Stegostoma tigrinum: one gene and its partner. The protein of the gene in region 2 binds, or shares a complex with, the protein of the main gene of each other region. Links are inferred from orthologs where the notes say so. Each region holds a gene or a part of one and is shown on either strand. Other genes may lie near its edges.

What was found.
Region 1: phldb2b (region 2) and ppfibp1b share a complex: the UniProt entries of both Homo sapiens proteins name them as parts of the cortical microtubule stabilization complex. The link is inferred for Stegostoma tigrinum from reciprocal best matches to the Homo sapiens genes PHLDB2 and PPFIBP1.

What each region holds. Positions count from the first base shown.
Region 1 is NC_081371.1:46,973,333-46,980,581, reverse strand, and holds the start of ppfibp1b (liprin-beta-1b), read right to left. Parts: upstream 3,088-7,249; 5' UTR 2,889-3,087; intron 1-2,888. UniProt on the Homo sapiens protein: May regulate the disassembly of focal adhesions. Did not bind receptor-like tyrosine phosphatases type 2A.
Region 2 is NC_081365.1:78,126,489-78,133,581, forward strand, and holds the start of phldb2b (pleckstrin homology-like domain family B member 1), read right to left. Parts: upstream 3,088-7,093; 5' UTR 2,992-3,087; intron 1-2,991. UniProt on the Homo sapiens protein: Seems to be involved in the assembly of the postsynaptic apparatus. May play a role in acetyl-choline receptor (AChR) aggregation in the postsynaptic membrane.

The DNA of each region.
Region 1 (7,249 bases), on a different chromosome or scaffold from region 2:
GGGGGAAGAGGGGGTCGGGGGGGGAAGAGGGGGTCGGGGGGGGAAGAGGGGGTCGGGGGGGGAAGAGGGGGTCGGGGGGGGAAGAGGGGGTCGGGGGGGGAAGAGGGGGTCGGGGGGGGAAGAGGGGGTCGGGGGGGGAAGAGGGGGTCGGGGGGGGAAGAGGGGGTCGGGGGGGGAAGAGGGGGTGGGGGGGGGAAGAGGGAGGAGGGGGGGGGAAGAGGGAGGAGGGGGGGGGAAGAGGGAGGAGGGGGGGGAAGAGGGAGGAGGGGGGGGGAAGAGGGAGGAGGGGGGGGGAGAGGGAGGAGGGGGGGGGAGAGAGGAGGGGGGGGAGAGAGGAGGGGGGGGAGAGAGGAGGGGGGGGAGAGAGGAGGGGGGGGGAGAGAGGAGGGGGGGGAGAGAGGAGGGGGGGGAGAGAGGAGGGGGGGGAGAGAGGAGGGGGGGGAGAGAGGAGGGGGGGGAGAGAGGAGGGGGGGGAGAGAGGAGGGGGGGGAGAGAGGAGGGGGGGGAGAGAGGAGGGGGGGGGAGAGAGGAGGGGGGGGGAGAGAGGAGGGGGGGGGAGAGAGGAGGGGGGGGAGAGAGGAGGGGGGGGAGAGAGGAGGGGGGGGAGAGAGGAGGGGGGGGAGAGAGGAGGGGGGGGGAGAGAGGAGGGGGGGGGAGAGAGGAGGGGGGGGGAGAGAGGAGGGGGGGGGGAGAGGAGGGGGGGGGGGAGGAGGGGGGGGGGGAGGAGAGGGGGGAGAGGATGGCGCCGGGGGGGGGGAGAGGATGGCGCCGGGGGGGGGGGAAGAGGATGGCGCCGGGGGGGGGGAAGAGGATGGCGCCGGGGGGGGGGAAGAGGATGGCGCCGGGGGGGGGGAAGAGGATGGCGCCGGGGGGGGGAAAGAGGATGGCGCCGGGGGGGGGAAAGAGGATGGCGCCGGGGGGGGGAAAGAGGATGGCGCCGGGGGGGGGAAGAGGATGGCGCCGGGGGGGGGGGGGGGGGAGGATGGCGTCGGGGGGGGAGAGGAGGAGGGGGGGAGAGGATGGCAGGGGGGGAGAGGATGGCGTCGGGGTGGGGGGGGGGAGAGGAGGGGTTCGGGAGAGGAGGGGGTCGGGGGGGACAGGATGGCGGGGGGGGGAGAGGATGGCGTCGGAGTGGGGGGGGGGGAGAGGAGGGGGTCGGGGGGGGAGAGGAGGGGGTCGGGGGGGGAGAGGAGGGGGTCGGGGGGGGAGAGGAGGGGGGGGGGACAGGATGGCAGGGGGGGAGAGGATGGCGTCGGGGTGGGGGGGGGGAGGAGGGGGTCGGGGGGGGGAGAGGAGGGGTTCGGGAGAGGAGGGGGTCGGGGGGGACAGGATGGCAGGGGGGGAGAGGATGGCGTCGGGGTGGGGGGGGGAGGAGGGGGTCGGGGGGGGAGAGGAGGGGGTCGGGGGGGGAGAGGAGGGGGTCGGGGGGGGAGAGGAGGGGGTCGGGGGGGGAGAGGAGGGGGTCGGGGGGGGAGAGGAGGGGGAGAGGAGGGGGGAGAGGAGGGGGTCGGGGGGGGAGAGGAGGGGGAGAGGAGGGGGAGAGGAGGGGGAGAGGAGGGGGTCGGGGGGGGGAGAGGAGGGGGTCGGGGGGGGGAGAGGAGGGGGTCGGGGGGGGGAGAGGAGGGGGTCGGGGGGGGGGAGAGGAGGGGGTCGGGGGGGGGAGAGGAGGGGGTCGGGGGGGGGGAGAGGAGGGGGTCGGGGGGGGGGAGAGGAGGGGGTCGGGGGGGGGAGAGGAGGGGGTCGGGGGGGGGGAGAGGAGGGGGTCGGGGGGGGGGAGAGGAGGGGGTCGGGGGGGGGAGAGGAGGGGGTCGGGGGGGGGGAGAGGAGGGGGTCGGGGGGGGGGAGAGGAGGGGGTCGGGGGGGGGAGAGAAGAGGATGGCGTCGGGGGGGGAGAGGATGGGGTCGGGGTCGGGGGGAGAGGATGGGGTCGGGGGGAGAGGATGGGGTCGGGGGGAGAGGATGGGGTCGGGGGGAGAGGATGGGGTTGCGGGGGGAAAGCGGCGGGGGGGTCGGAGGAGGAAGGGGTCGGGGTGGGGGGGGGAGGAGGAAGGGGTCGGGGTGGGGGGGGGAGGAGGAAGGGGTCGGGGTGGGGGGGGGGAGGAGGAAGGGGTCGGGGTGGGGGGGGGGGAGGAGGAAGGGGTCGGGAGGAAGGGGTCGGGAGGAAGGGGTCGGGAGGAAGGGGTCGGGGTGGGGGGGAGGAAGGGGTCGGGGTGGGGGGGAGGAGGAGGGGGTCGGGGTGGGGGGGGGGTGGGGAGAGGCGTGGAGTGTCGGGAGGATTAGAGTGGAGGGGGCCGGGGGTTGGTGAGGGAGGGGAGGAGCGGGGAAGAGAAGGCGGACGGGACGGGATGGGATGGGACGGGACGGGACGGGGGGGGGGGGTGGTGGTGTGAGAGGGCAGTCAGACAGGACGGGGGCGTGAAGTGGCAGACAGGACGAGGGGGAGGGGAACGGGGCGGGGGGAATGTCAGGCAGGCGGGGGGGGGGGTGCGGAGGAGGGGAAAGCGTCGGGGCGAGGTTGGAGAATATCGGAAATGGTGGAGCATTCGGACAGCGGGGAGGGGGAAAAGAGAAGAGAATGTGACGGGTCTATGTCGGACGGGGGCTGGGGGTGTGGATTCGGACCACACGGCGGGGCTGGGAAGAAAGGTGACGGGTCTATATTGGACATGGTGAGGGTATTCCGACCCGGGGGCGGGGTGGGGATGAACGGGAGCTAAGGGGTTGCTCTGCTGGTAGTGCCCGATGCCCCGGGGGCAGAAGCGCGCGCCTGATTTAACGGTTCCCGCCGCCATGCCAGCTGCCGGCCCTATTCCCTGACCCTCCGGCCTCCTCCTGAAACCCGTCAAGCGGGAGGGAGCAGGGCCGCAAGGATCTCCGCGCCCACCTACCTGCCACAGGCAGAGACCCTCTTTCAGGAGGTGGTGGAGGAGGAGGGGCGGCGGCACCACGCGATGGAAGTCACCTTCTCTCCGCCCCGCGGAACGGGCGTGAGGGGAGTGGACACCAATCGGTCGGTTACTCGGCCAGCCGCCCCACCTCACACAATACAGTCTCTCACTCCTTCGGCCGCCAGCCTACCACCCGCCCGTCACGTGACGTCCGGCAAACCCCGCCCCTTAGCCACCATCGATTGGCCCCCACCTGGCCCCGCCTACTGTCCGCTACTCATCCTTGCGATTGGTCCCGCCGGCTGTCTGTCTCGTGGCGAGGGCGGGGTCCCTTGTTGAGGCGGTGACTGTGGCAGTGAGTTGGAGTGCCGAGGGAGTGTATCAATGAGCAGTAAAGTTAAAAAGCGAAAGCAAGAAGGAGAGGCAGACCCAGTCTAACTTTTGTGGAGTATTCATCATCAGGATTTGTCATTGACAAAGACATCAAAGGAGAAATGGGGAAACAGGCTCGAAGGGCTGAATGGCCTCCCCCGCTCCTATTTTCCATATTGTTCTATGGTCCTACCGAGATTCTCCTTCAAGGGGTAATGCTTTGCACCCACTCGAACAATAAAATCTTAGAAACCCTACAGTGCAGAAAAAGGCCATTCAGCCCATCAAGTCTGCACCAACCCTCCGAAAAGCATCTCACCCAAACCTGGCCCCTCCCCTATAATCCTTAATTTACAATAGCTAACCCACCTTGCCTGCACATCCCTGGGCACTACAGACAACTTAGCATGGTCAATCCACCTAACTTGCACATTTTTGGACTGTGGGAGGAAACTGAAGCATGCTACAGAAACCCATGCAGACACAGTAAGAACGTACAAACTCCACATAGACAGTTGCTCAAAACCTGAGTCTCTGGTACTGGAGACAGCAGTGCCAACTACTGAGCAACTGCGCCATTGCTTTAAGTCTCCTTAGAATCATGTATGTTTCAATAAAGTTGCTATACATTCTTCTAAGTACAGGAGTAGAGCTGCTGTCATCGTTCCACGTAACCAAAGTCCCTCATCCCTGTTGCCATCACAATAAATCAGCACCACATTGTCATGATCCTTTTTATTAATTTGTGGTTTTTGGAAATTACTGAAATGGTCAGCATTTATTACTCAACTCTAATTCTGAGGAAGGGCCACTTTACCCGAAACGTTATCTCTAAATTCTGAGGAAGGGTCACTCAATCCAAATGATTAACTCTGATTTCGCTCCACAGATGCTGCTGAACCTGCTGAGCTTTTCCAGCAATTTCTATTTTTGTCCCAAAATTACACTTTGACATCCTTATTAGAGGATTGTCTGCAGAATTAGATGCAATACACTAGCTTGAACTACTTGTTGACACTTGTAAAAGAACATCCATTCATAGGAAATTTTGTCTGCCACACTAATGGCAGCACATTTTTAATGAATCCTGAGGAGCGTTACTGAAGGAGTGCTGCCCTGTTTGAGGGAGTGCTGCAGTATCGAAAGAATCCTTCTGCAATTGACCTTGATCCAAATGGCTCACTAGGCTGAATGGCCTTTTTCTGCACTATAGGGTTTCTAAGATTTTATTGTTCGAGTGGGTGCAAAGCATTACCCCTTGAAGGAGAATCTCGGTAGGACCACAGAGCAATATGGAAAATAGGAGCAGGAGGAGGCCATTTAGCCCGTCGAGCCTGTTTCCCCATTTCTCCTTTGATGTCTTTGTCAATGACAAATCCTGATGATGAATACTCCACAGAAGTTAGACTGGGTCTGCCTCTCCTTCTTGCTTTTGCCTTTTAACTTAACAGAACTTAAGAGTCAACCACTGATTCAACAGACACCAATCTATTCTATCTAAAAGATGTACTGTGACAACTCAGCAAGGCTTCTTAGACAGCATTTTCTAAATACCTCAATCTCTGTGATCAAGAAGGACAAGGACACCAGATACATGAGAACACCACTTCCTGGAAATTTACTTTCAAGCCCCATACAATCCTGACTTGAAAATATAACGGAGATAATGGAAACTGCAGTTGCTGGAGAATCTGAGATAGCAAAGTGTAGAGCTGGATGAACACAGCAGGCCTAGCGGCATCTAAGGAGCACAAAAGCTGACGTTTCGGGCCTAGACCCCTCATCAGAAAAGGCCTTTTCTGATGAAGGGTCTAGGCCCGAAACGTCAGCTTTTGTGCTCCTAAGATGCTGCTTGGCCTGCTATGTTCACCCACTTCCACACTTCTGTTACCTTGAAAATATATCAGTTAAGTCTTCACTGGTTTTTCCCATTTATGACATGTTGTAACTCTAACATTCCCTCTTTGAACATTTCCACATCTCTGCCTTTCCCTCCTTCTTTGAGATGGTCGTTATAATCTGCTTCTCTGACCTAACTTTTGACCGTCTGCACTAATGTCTCTTTACATAGCTCTGTGTTCAATTCCTATAAAAAGACTTGGGTTAAAATTGAGCCTAATATCCCCCTGTCAACAATTTGCCAACTATTAGAATGATCTTTCACCATTTTCTCATGTTGTTGAATCTTTTCATGCAAAATGTGAAGTTTGAGATTGTTTGAAATTTGGCATTTTTCTGTTCATCCTGATAAATTCAAGAGGAATACCTTTGGCAGTATGTGCTTCTTCTCAGCAACTTTCATTTTATTATTCAGTAATGGAATCTGGATGTGCTGGCTGCACTAGCATTTATTGCCCATCCCTAGTTGCCCATAGGAAAGTGGTGATGAATAATCTTCTTGAACTGCTGCAGTCCCTTCGCTATAGGTAGACCCACAATACTTAATATATTCTCTTCTATACCTCTCAGGGCAAAAGTTACACTTTTCCAAAACAGTGAGAAATGGAAGCAGAGGAAGGCTGTTTGACTCTTCAAGCCTTTTCGTCCATCCAATAAGATATGCCTGATCTTTTCCCTCAATTTACCTTCTGCTCTCAACCCAAATCCCCGAATTTCCTGAGTACTCAAAAATCTTAATGGTCTCAGTCTTGAATATTATCAAAGACTGAGTATTTAAAACCTTTCAATGTTGCTGAACATGTTGGTGAAACTGTTCGCTTTGTACTCATCAGGTCAAATGCAAGAATGCCAGGTTTCAAACCGTTATAATGATTTATATCATGGAGAAAAGGCTCTGATTGGTCAGCTAATTTACTCCATTTCACTAATGCATTGCTGTAAAGAAAGCAATGCAGGACTAACGGCTCTCCAAGCTAGTGTGCCGTGATTACTTGAAATTTGTCAGTCTTGTATCTATCCTAATGTGTGTAAAATGAAAAACCTGGACAACATCTCTCTCTTTTCAGCAATATTCAAGTTCTGAAGTACCAAGTGACTAATAAAAATATTACTTAAATGCAAGCTGTTGTCACACCACTGTGATTTAAGTCAGTGATCACATTATCTTTCTTTTACGTCCTAATCAGCACTCTGAAAAATGATACACTGTTTGATTCAGAGCATTTGCATTTGAATCACTGCTCATAGGCAGCAGAGTATGAGCAGTATATTTACCAGTCCTTTTGGCTGCGATTATAAGGCCTCCCCTATGTCAGAACTCTCATCATTCCCAGAAATATGGTCATGCACTCTTCTGCTTACTTTAAATTTAAGTGTGGAGTACAGTGAGTTCTAAAAGGATTAGCTATGGAATTTTGGATGGTTTGAGTGAACCATGAGGATATGTCCCCACAACATGAGCCTGAGACTCTAGTACTACTAGCATGGTGACATACCATTGCATCACCATCTACCAGTTATAAACCAGCATTCAGTTTATTAGCACAGGTACGGCATTTGAAAACCCTTCTGCTGTTAACTTACCCATTATAGGCCTCAGGAAATCCCTAACATCGGTTGTGAACAAAATACTGGTGAAGTGTTGTCATTCTCCTACATTATAATGGAGACTGCGCCCTTCATATAATGTTACGTTCCTTGACATTCTTCTCACAGTGTTAACTGTGCAGCTGAGTTTTTGTGCTGGTTAAAATTGAACATAATATCTCTGTCAACAATTTACCAACTATGCAAATGATCTTTCACCATTTTCTCATGTTGTCAAATCTTTTCCTCTTGCATTCATCTGAATAAATGTAAAAATGTGAAATTTGAGATGGTTTGAAATTTGACTTTCTTGTGTTTGCCCGGTTTCTTTTTTCAGGAAATTTTTTTTATTCATTTATGCAATTTGAACATTGTTGGCAGTGCCAGGACTTATTGCCCATCCCTAGTTGGGAAAGTGATGGTGAACTGTCTTCTTGATTGCTATAGTCCATTTGCTGTAGGTAGACCCTTAATGCCAATAGGGAGGGCAAGTCAAGATTTTG
Region 2 (7,093 bases):
GAGGGTGGGGGGGGAAGGGAAGGGAGGGTGGGGGGGAAGGGGGGGGAGGGAAGGGGGAGGGGGGGGAAGAGGGGGAAGGGGGGAGGGAAGGGGGAGGGGGGGAAGGGGAAGGGGGAGGGGGGGAAGGGGGGGAGGGAGGGGGGGAGGGAGGGGGGGAAGGGGGGGAGGGAGGGGGGGAAGGGGGGGAAGGGGGGGAGGGAGGGGGGGAAGGGGGGGAAGGGGGGGAGGGAGGGGGGGAAGGGGGGGAGGGAGGGGGGAGGGAAGGGGGGAGGGAAGGGGGGGGAGGGAAGGGGGGGAGGGAAGGGGGGGAGGGGGGGAGGGAAGGGGGAGGGGGGGAGGGAGGGAAGGGAGGGGGGAAGGGAGGGGGGGAGGGAGGGAAGGGAGGGGGGGAGGGGGGGGAGGGGGGGAGGGGGGGAGGGAGGGGGGAGGGGGGGAGGGAGGGGGGAGGGAAGGGGGGAGGGGGGGAGGGAGGGGGGAGGGAAGGGGGGAGGGGGGGAGGGAGGGAGGGAGGGGGGGGAGGGAGGGAGGGAGGGGGGGGAGGGAGGGGGGGGAGGGAAGGGGGGGGAGGGGGGGAGGGAAGGGGAGGGAAGGGGGGGAGGGGGGGAGGGAAGGGGGGGAGGGAAGGGGGGGGGGGAGGGAAGGGGGGGGAGGAGGGAAGGGGGGGAGGGGGGAGGGGGGGGAGGGGGGGAGGGGGGGAGGGGGGGAGGGAAGGGGAGGGAAGGGGGGGAAAGGAAGGGGGGGAGGGGGGAAAGGAAGGGGGGGAGGGGGGGAAAGGAAGGGGGGGAGGGGGGGAAAGGAAGGGGGGAGGGGAGGGGGGAGGGGAGGGGGGAGGGGGGAGGGGAGGGGGGAGGGGAGGGGAGGGGAGGGGGGGAGGGGGGGGAGGAGGGGGAGGGGGGGAGGGGAGGGGGAGAGGGGGGAGGGGAGGGGAGGGGAGGGGGGGAGGAGGGAGGGGAGGGGGGGGGGAGGGGGGGAGGAGGGAGGGGAGGGGGGGAGGGGGGGGAAGGGGGGAGGGGAGGGGGGGGAGGGGGGGGAGGGGGGGAGGGGGGGGAGGGGGAGGGGGGGAGGGGAGGGGGGAGGGGAGGGGGGGAGGGGAAGGGGGGAGGGGAGGGGGGGAGGGGAAGGGGGGAAGGGAAGGGGGGGAAGGGAAGGGGGGGAGGGGGGGAAGGGAAGGGAAGGGGGGAGGGGGGAAGGGGGGAAGGGAAGGGGGGAGGGGGGAAGGGAAGGGGGGAGGGGGGAAGGGAAGGGGGGAAGGGAAGGGGGGAGGGGGGAAGGGAAGGGGGGAAGGGAAGGGGGAAGGGAAGGGGGGAGGGGAAGGGGGGAGGGGAAGGGGGGAGGGGAAGGGGGGAGGGGAAGGGGGGAGGGGAAGAGGGGAGGGGGGGGGGAAGGGAAGGGGGGAGGGGAGGGGGGAAGGGAAGGGGGGAGGGGAGGGGGGAAGGGAAGGGGGGAGGGGAGGGGGGGAAGGGAAGGGGGGAGGGGAGGGGGGGAAGGGAAGGGGGGAGGGGGGGAAGGGAAGGGGGGGAGGGGGGGAAGGGAAGGGGGGGAGGGGGGGAAGGGAAGGGGGGGAGGGGAGGGGGGGAAGGGAAGGAGGGGAGGGGGGGAAGGGAAGGGGGGAGGGGGGAAGGGAAGGGGGAGGGGAAGGGGGAAGGGAAGGGGGGAGGGGAAGGGGGGAGGGGAAGGGGGGAGGGGAAGGGGGGAGGGGAGGGGAAGGGGGGAGGGGAGGGGAGGGGGGGAAGGGAAGAGGGGAGGGGGGAAGGGAAGAGGGGAGGGGGGAAGGGAAGAGGGGAGGGGAGGGGAGGGGGGGAAGGGAAGAGGGGAGGGGGGAAGGGAAGAGGGGAGGGGAGGGGGGGAAGGGAAGAGGGGAGGGGGGGAAGGGAAGAGGGGGAGGGGGGAAGGGAAGGGGGGGAGGGGGGAAGGGAAGGGGGGGAGGGGGGAAGGGAAGGGGGGGAGGGGGGAAGGGAAGGGGGGGAGGGGGGAAGGGAAGGGGGGGAGGGGGGAAGGGAAGGGGGGAGGGGGGGAAGGGAAGGGGGGAGGGGGGGAAGGGAAGGGGGGAGGGGGGGAAGGGAAGGGGGGAGGGGGGGAAGGGGAGGGGGAAAGGGGAGGGGGGGAAGGGGAGGGGGGGAAGGGGAGGGGGAAAGGGGAGGGGGGAAGGGGAGGGGGGGAGGGGGGGGAGGGGGGGGAGGGGGGGGAGGGGGGGGGAGGGGGGAGAGGGGGGGGAGGGGGGGAGGGGGGGGAGGGGGAGGGGGGGAAGGGGAGGGGGGAAGGGGGGGAAGGGGAGGGGGGAAGGGGGGAGGGGGGGAAGGGAAGGGGGGAGGGGGGGAAGGGGAGGGGGCGCGGGGGAGGAGAGGGGGGCGGGGGGAGGAGAGGGGGGCGGGGGGAGGAGAGGGGGGCGGGGGGAGGAGAGGGGGGGCGGGGGGAGGAGAGGGGGGGCGGGGGGGCGGGGGAAGGAGAGGGGGGGGCGGGGGAAGGAGAGGGGGGGGCGGGGGAAGGAGAGGGGGGAGAGGGGGGAGGAGAGGGGGGGCGGGGGAAGAGAGGGGGGGGCGGGGGAAGAGAGGGGGGGCGGGGGAAGAGAGGGGGGGGCGGGGGAAGAGAGGGGGGGGCGGGGGAAGAGATGCTTGACTGAAAGCAAACCCCAAAGGATCTCGCCGCCCCGGACCCTGGAGGTGTCGGCTGAGGCCATTCACAAGACTATGGGATTCCAGTCCCACTCAGGGTCTGTCTGGCTTCAAACCAGCCCCACCAAGTACTTCTACATCCCCAACCAGATTCCCCCACTTTGTGGGAGCTTGCTGTGCACAACCCAGGTGCCACGTTCTCCACACTGGGACAGCGAGGCACTTCCAAAGCAAAATGCCTTCGTTCCGCGCTACAGGGGGACGGCGCTACTGGAATGCAGAATTTCCCTCTGTGTGAATGGACGAGCTGCGCCCCCACACCCCCCCGGCCAGTGAGTACTCGCGGCCATTCAGCCTTCTCAGTGCAAACTGTACTTACAGGGAATGCAGAGCAGATTCAGCAGTGTCCCCGGGAAGAAGTCGGAACGGCGCCTGGAGCCCGGCAGCCGCAGCGCCGCCTCGCTCTCTGTCTCCGGCCACGTAGCGCTGGAAGGCGGAGGCTGGGCGGACGGAGGGCTGCAGAGTGCGCGCACGCTCGGCCCCTGCCACTGTCACTCAGTGAGAATTACCGAAACAAGTGGGTAAATCACTACACCATCCTCTACACCGGGCTGAACTCACCAAATCAGTGTGAACATCACTAAATCAGCCTCTACACCGAGCTGAACTCACCAAATCAGTGTGAACATCACTAAATCAGCCTCTACACCGAGCTGAACTCACCAAATCAGTGTGAACATCACTAAATCAGCCTGTACACCGGGCTGAACTCACCAAATCAGTGTGAACATCACTAAATCAGCCTCTACACCGAGCTGAACTCACCAAATCAGTGTGAACATCACTAAATCAGCCTGTACACCGGGCTGAACTCACCAAATCAGTGTGAACATCACTAAATCAGCCTCTACACCGGGCTGAACTCACCAAATCAGTGTGAACATCACTAAATCAGCCTCTACACCGGGCTGAGCTCACCAAATCAGTGTGAACATCACTAAATCAGCCTCTACACCGAGCTGAACTCACCAAATCAGTGTGAACATCACTAAATCAGCCTCTACACCGAGCTGAACTCACCAAATCAGTGTGAACATCACTAAATCAGCCTCTACACCGAGCTGAACTCACCAAATCAGTGTGAACGTAACTAAATCAGCCTCTACACCGAGCTGAACTCACCAAATCAGTGTGAACATCACTAAATCAGCCTCTACACCGAGCTGAACTCACCAAATCAGTGTGAACATCACTAAATCAGCCTCTACACCGGGCTGAACTCACCAAATCAGTGTGAACATCACTAAATCAGCCTCTACACCGGGCTGAACTCACCAAATCAGTGTGAACATCACTAAATCAGCCTCTACACCGAGCTGAACTCACCAAATCAGTGTGAACATCACTAAATCAGCCTGTACACCGGGCTGAACTCACCAAATCAGTGTGAACATCACTAAATCAGCCTCTACACCGGGCTGAACTCACCAAATCAATGTGAACATCACTAAATCAGCCTCTACACCGGGCTGAGCTCACCAAATCAGTGTGAACATCACTAAATCAGCCTCTACACCGAGCTGAACTCACCAAATCAGTGTGAACATCACTAAATCAGCCTCTACACCGAGCTGAACTCACCAAATCAGTGTGAACATCACTAAATCAGCCTGTACACCGGGCTGAACTCACCAAATCAGTGTGAACATCACTAAATCAGCCTCTACACCGAGCTGAACTCACCAAATCAGTGTGAATATCACTAAATCAGCCTCTGAACCAGGGTGAAAGTCACCAAATCAGTGTGAACATCACTAAATCAGCCTGTACACCGGGCTGAACTCACCAAATCAGTGTGAACATCACTAAATCAGCCTCTACACCGAGCTGAACTCACCAAATCAGTGTGAACATCACTAAATCAGCCTCTACACTGAGCTGAACTCACCAAATCAGTGTGAATATCACTAAATCAGCCTCTGAACCAGGGTGAAAGTCACCACAGTGGAAATCACCATATCACTGTCTCAACTGGTGTAAAAGTCACTAAGTCAGTGTGAAAACCACTAAATCCCCTCTGAATCAGAGAGAATGTCACTGAAACAGGGACAATACATCAAATTAGTCCCTGGACTGGTACAAAAGTCACTGACATGGGGCAAATCAACAAATCAGCCTCTCAACTAGTGTGAATGTCACCAAATGAGTGTAGAAATTACCAAATCCACCTCTAGACGAGGGTGACAGTCACTGAGGGGGAAAATCGCCTAGCTGTGGACATACTAATAAGGACATTGCTAAATCAGCATTGAAATCACCAAAGCATCCTCTGAGCCAGTGCAAAAGGCATCAAACCAGTGTTAAAATCACTAAATCACTGATTGGTCCAGTGTAAACATCACCAAATCAGTGAGGGAATCAGCAAATCAGCCTCTACACTGGTGTGAAGATCACCAAGTGAGTGTTACCATCACTAAATCACTGTGCAAACCAGTGTGAGCACTGCCAAACCTGTGTGGAAATCACTAAATCAGCCTCTAAACCAGTGTGAAAGTCAGCAACTCAGTGTGAATATTACCAAATCACCATGAAAACCAGCATAAACATCACTAATTCAGTATAGAAATCACCAAATCAGCCTCTACACTGGTGTGAAAACCACAATTTCATTCTTCAAATACCTCAATCAACCTCTAAACTGATATGATGCAAATCACCAAATCAACATGTATCAATTTATCCTGTCTACAACTTCATCAGAACAGTTTGAAAAGAGGCAAATCAAAGTGAATCAGTGTGAAATTCACAAGCTTAGTGTAAAATTGCAAAAGTAGGTGTTAACTTCACTTAACCAGTGTGAAATTCACCAAACCAGTGTGAAAGTCAGCAAACACGTCTGAAATTTCCTCAAATCAATAGAAAGCTTGGTTTGAAAAGATTGTGTAGAATTCCCAAAATTCCCAGGCTGAAAATCACCAAATCAGTGCAAAGATCACCAAAACAAACGAAATCTAGAAATCCATGTAAAATTGACCAAATCAGTGCACTCCCAAAATCAACACAAACATACACCAAATATGCATGGAATATTCAAGTGAATGTGAGGAAGTTCAGATACTCCTTGTGCAATGCAGCAGGTCATTGGCCACCTTCCTACACTGCTAGGCCATTAGGCCCATCTAGTGCACACTGACTCTCCAATGAGCATCCCACACAGACCAACCCCAACACCCACACACACAAACCCACACCCACCCTAGCCCCGTAACCCTGTATTTCCCATGGGTAATCCACCCTAATCTGCACATCATTGGACTGTGGGAAGAAACCGGAGCACCAGGAGGAAACCCACGCAGACACAGGGAGAATGTACAAACTCCACACAGACAGTCGCCCGAGTGTGGAATTGAACCTGGTGCTTGGCGCTTTGCGGCAGGAATGCTAACCACTGGGCCACTGTGCCACCCTTACCCCTTGTTGCCCCTTTCTCCCCATTTGCAGCTCCTCCCCCCTCTCTTTGCTTCCCATCCTTGTCCCCTCACACCCTTTTTAAACTCAATTTGCACTATGGTAACCATTCCCCCCAACCTGGCCTTGCTCCCTGGACTTTGTTAGTCTTAATTCCCTCTCCCTCAAACTTCAGAGGTCCTGCATTGTCTGCTCTTAGCCCTCTTGTTTTGGTCTCACTTGCTCTAGCCTTGCTCCTCATTGCCTCTTACCTATTCCTTGCACCCTCATTTACGGGCTGCTTCTCTGTCGCATTTGATGTTGGCATCTTGGAGTGAATGATTCCAACTGCTACAGCGGAACCTGTCTCCAATTGGATGCTCCTGTGAGTGGATTGCCCTGGATATTTGCAGGCCATTTGGAGGTGGGGGATGCACCAGCTGCCCCCATACTGTTGAGCGTTATAAACATGGCTGATAATCCATTGCATGAAAAGGCTCACACTGACTAAAGTTCATCTCTTCAGATAAATGTTAATCCAGAGGCCTGCTCAGGCAGATTGGACAATATTTGAAGAAGTGCAGCTTTAATTTAACCTTCAGCTGACATCACAGAAACACATCATCTGGCCCTTGAGCTCGTTGCTGTTGGTTAAGATCCCAATGAGAGCAAGTTGACTGCTTTGTTTTCTGATGTTACCACAGTAGCAATATTCAAGAAGCTAAAGACCCGCTTCAAGATTTTCTATGGCTGTCTAAAGTGCATTATATATGTTTAAATAGAAACTACTATAGCCAGATTTGCTGTTGACACGATAATGGGTGGAAAAATATGTTGCAATAAAGAAATAAAAAACTTACACATGGGTATGAATTGGATAGGTAAATGGGTCAAAATTTGGCCAATGAGGTTTAACGTGGATAACTGTAAGGTTATCCATTTTGGTCAGAGGTGGAGAAATCTAAATGGAGAGAAACTTCAGAGTGTTTCAGAAAAGAGGGATCTGGGTGTCTTCATGCATGAATTGCAGAAAA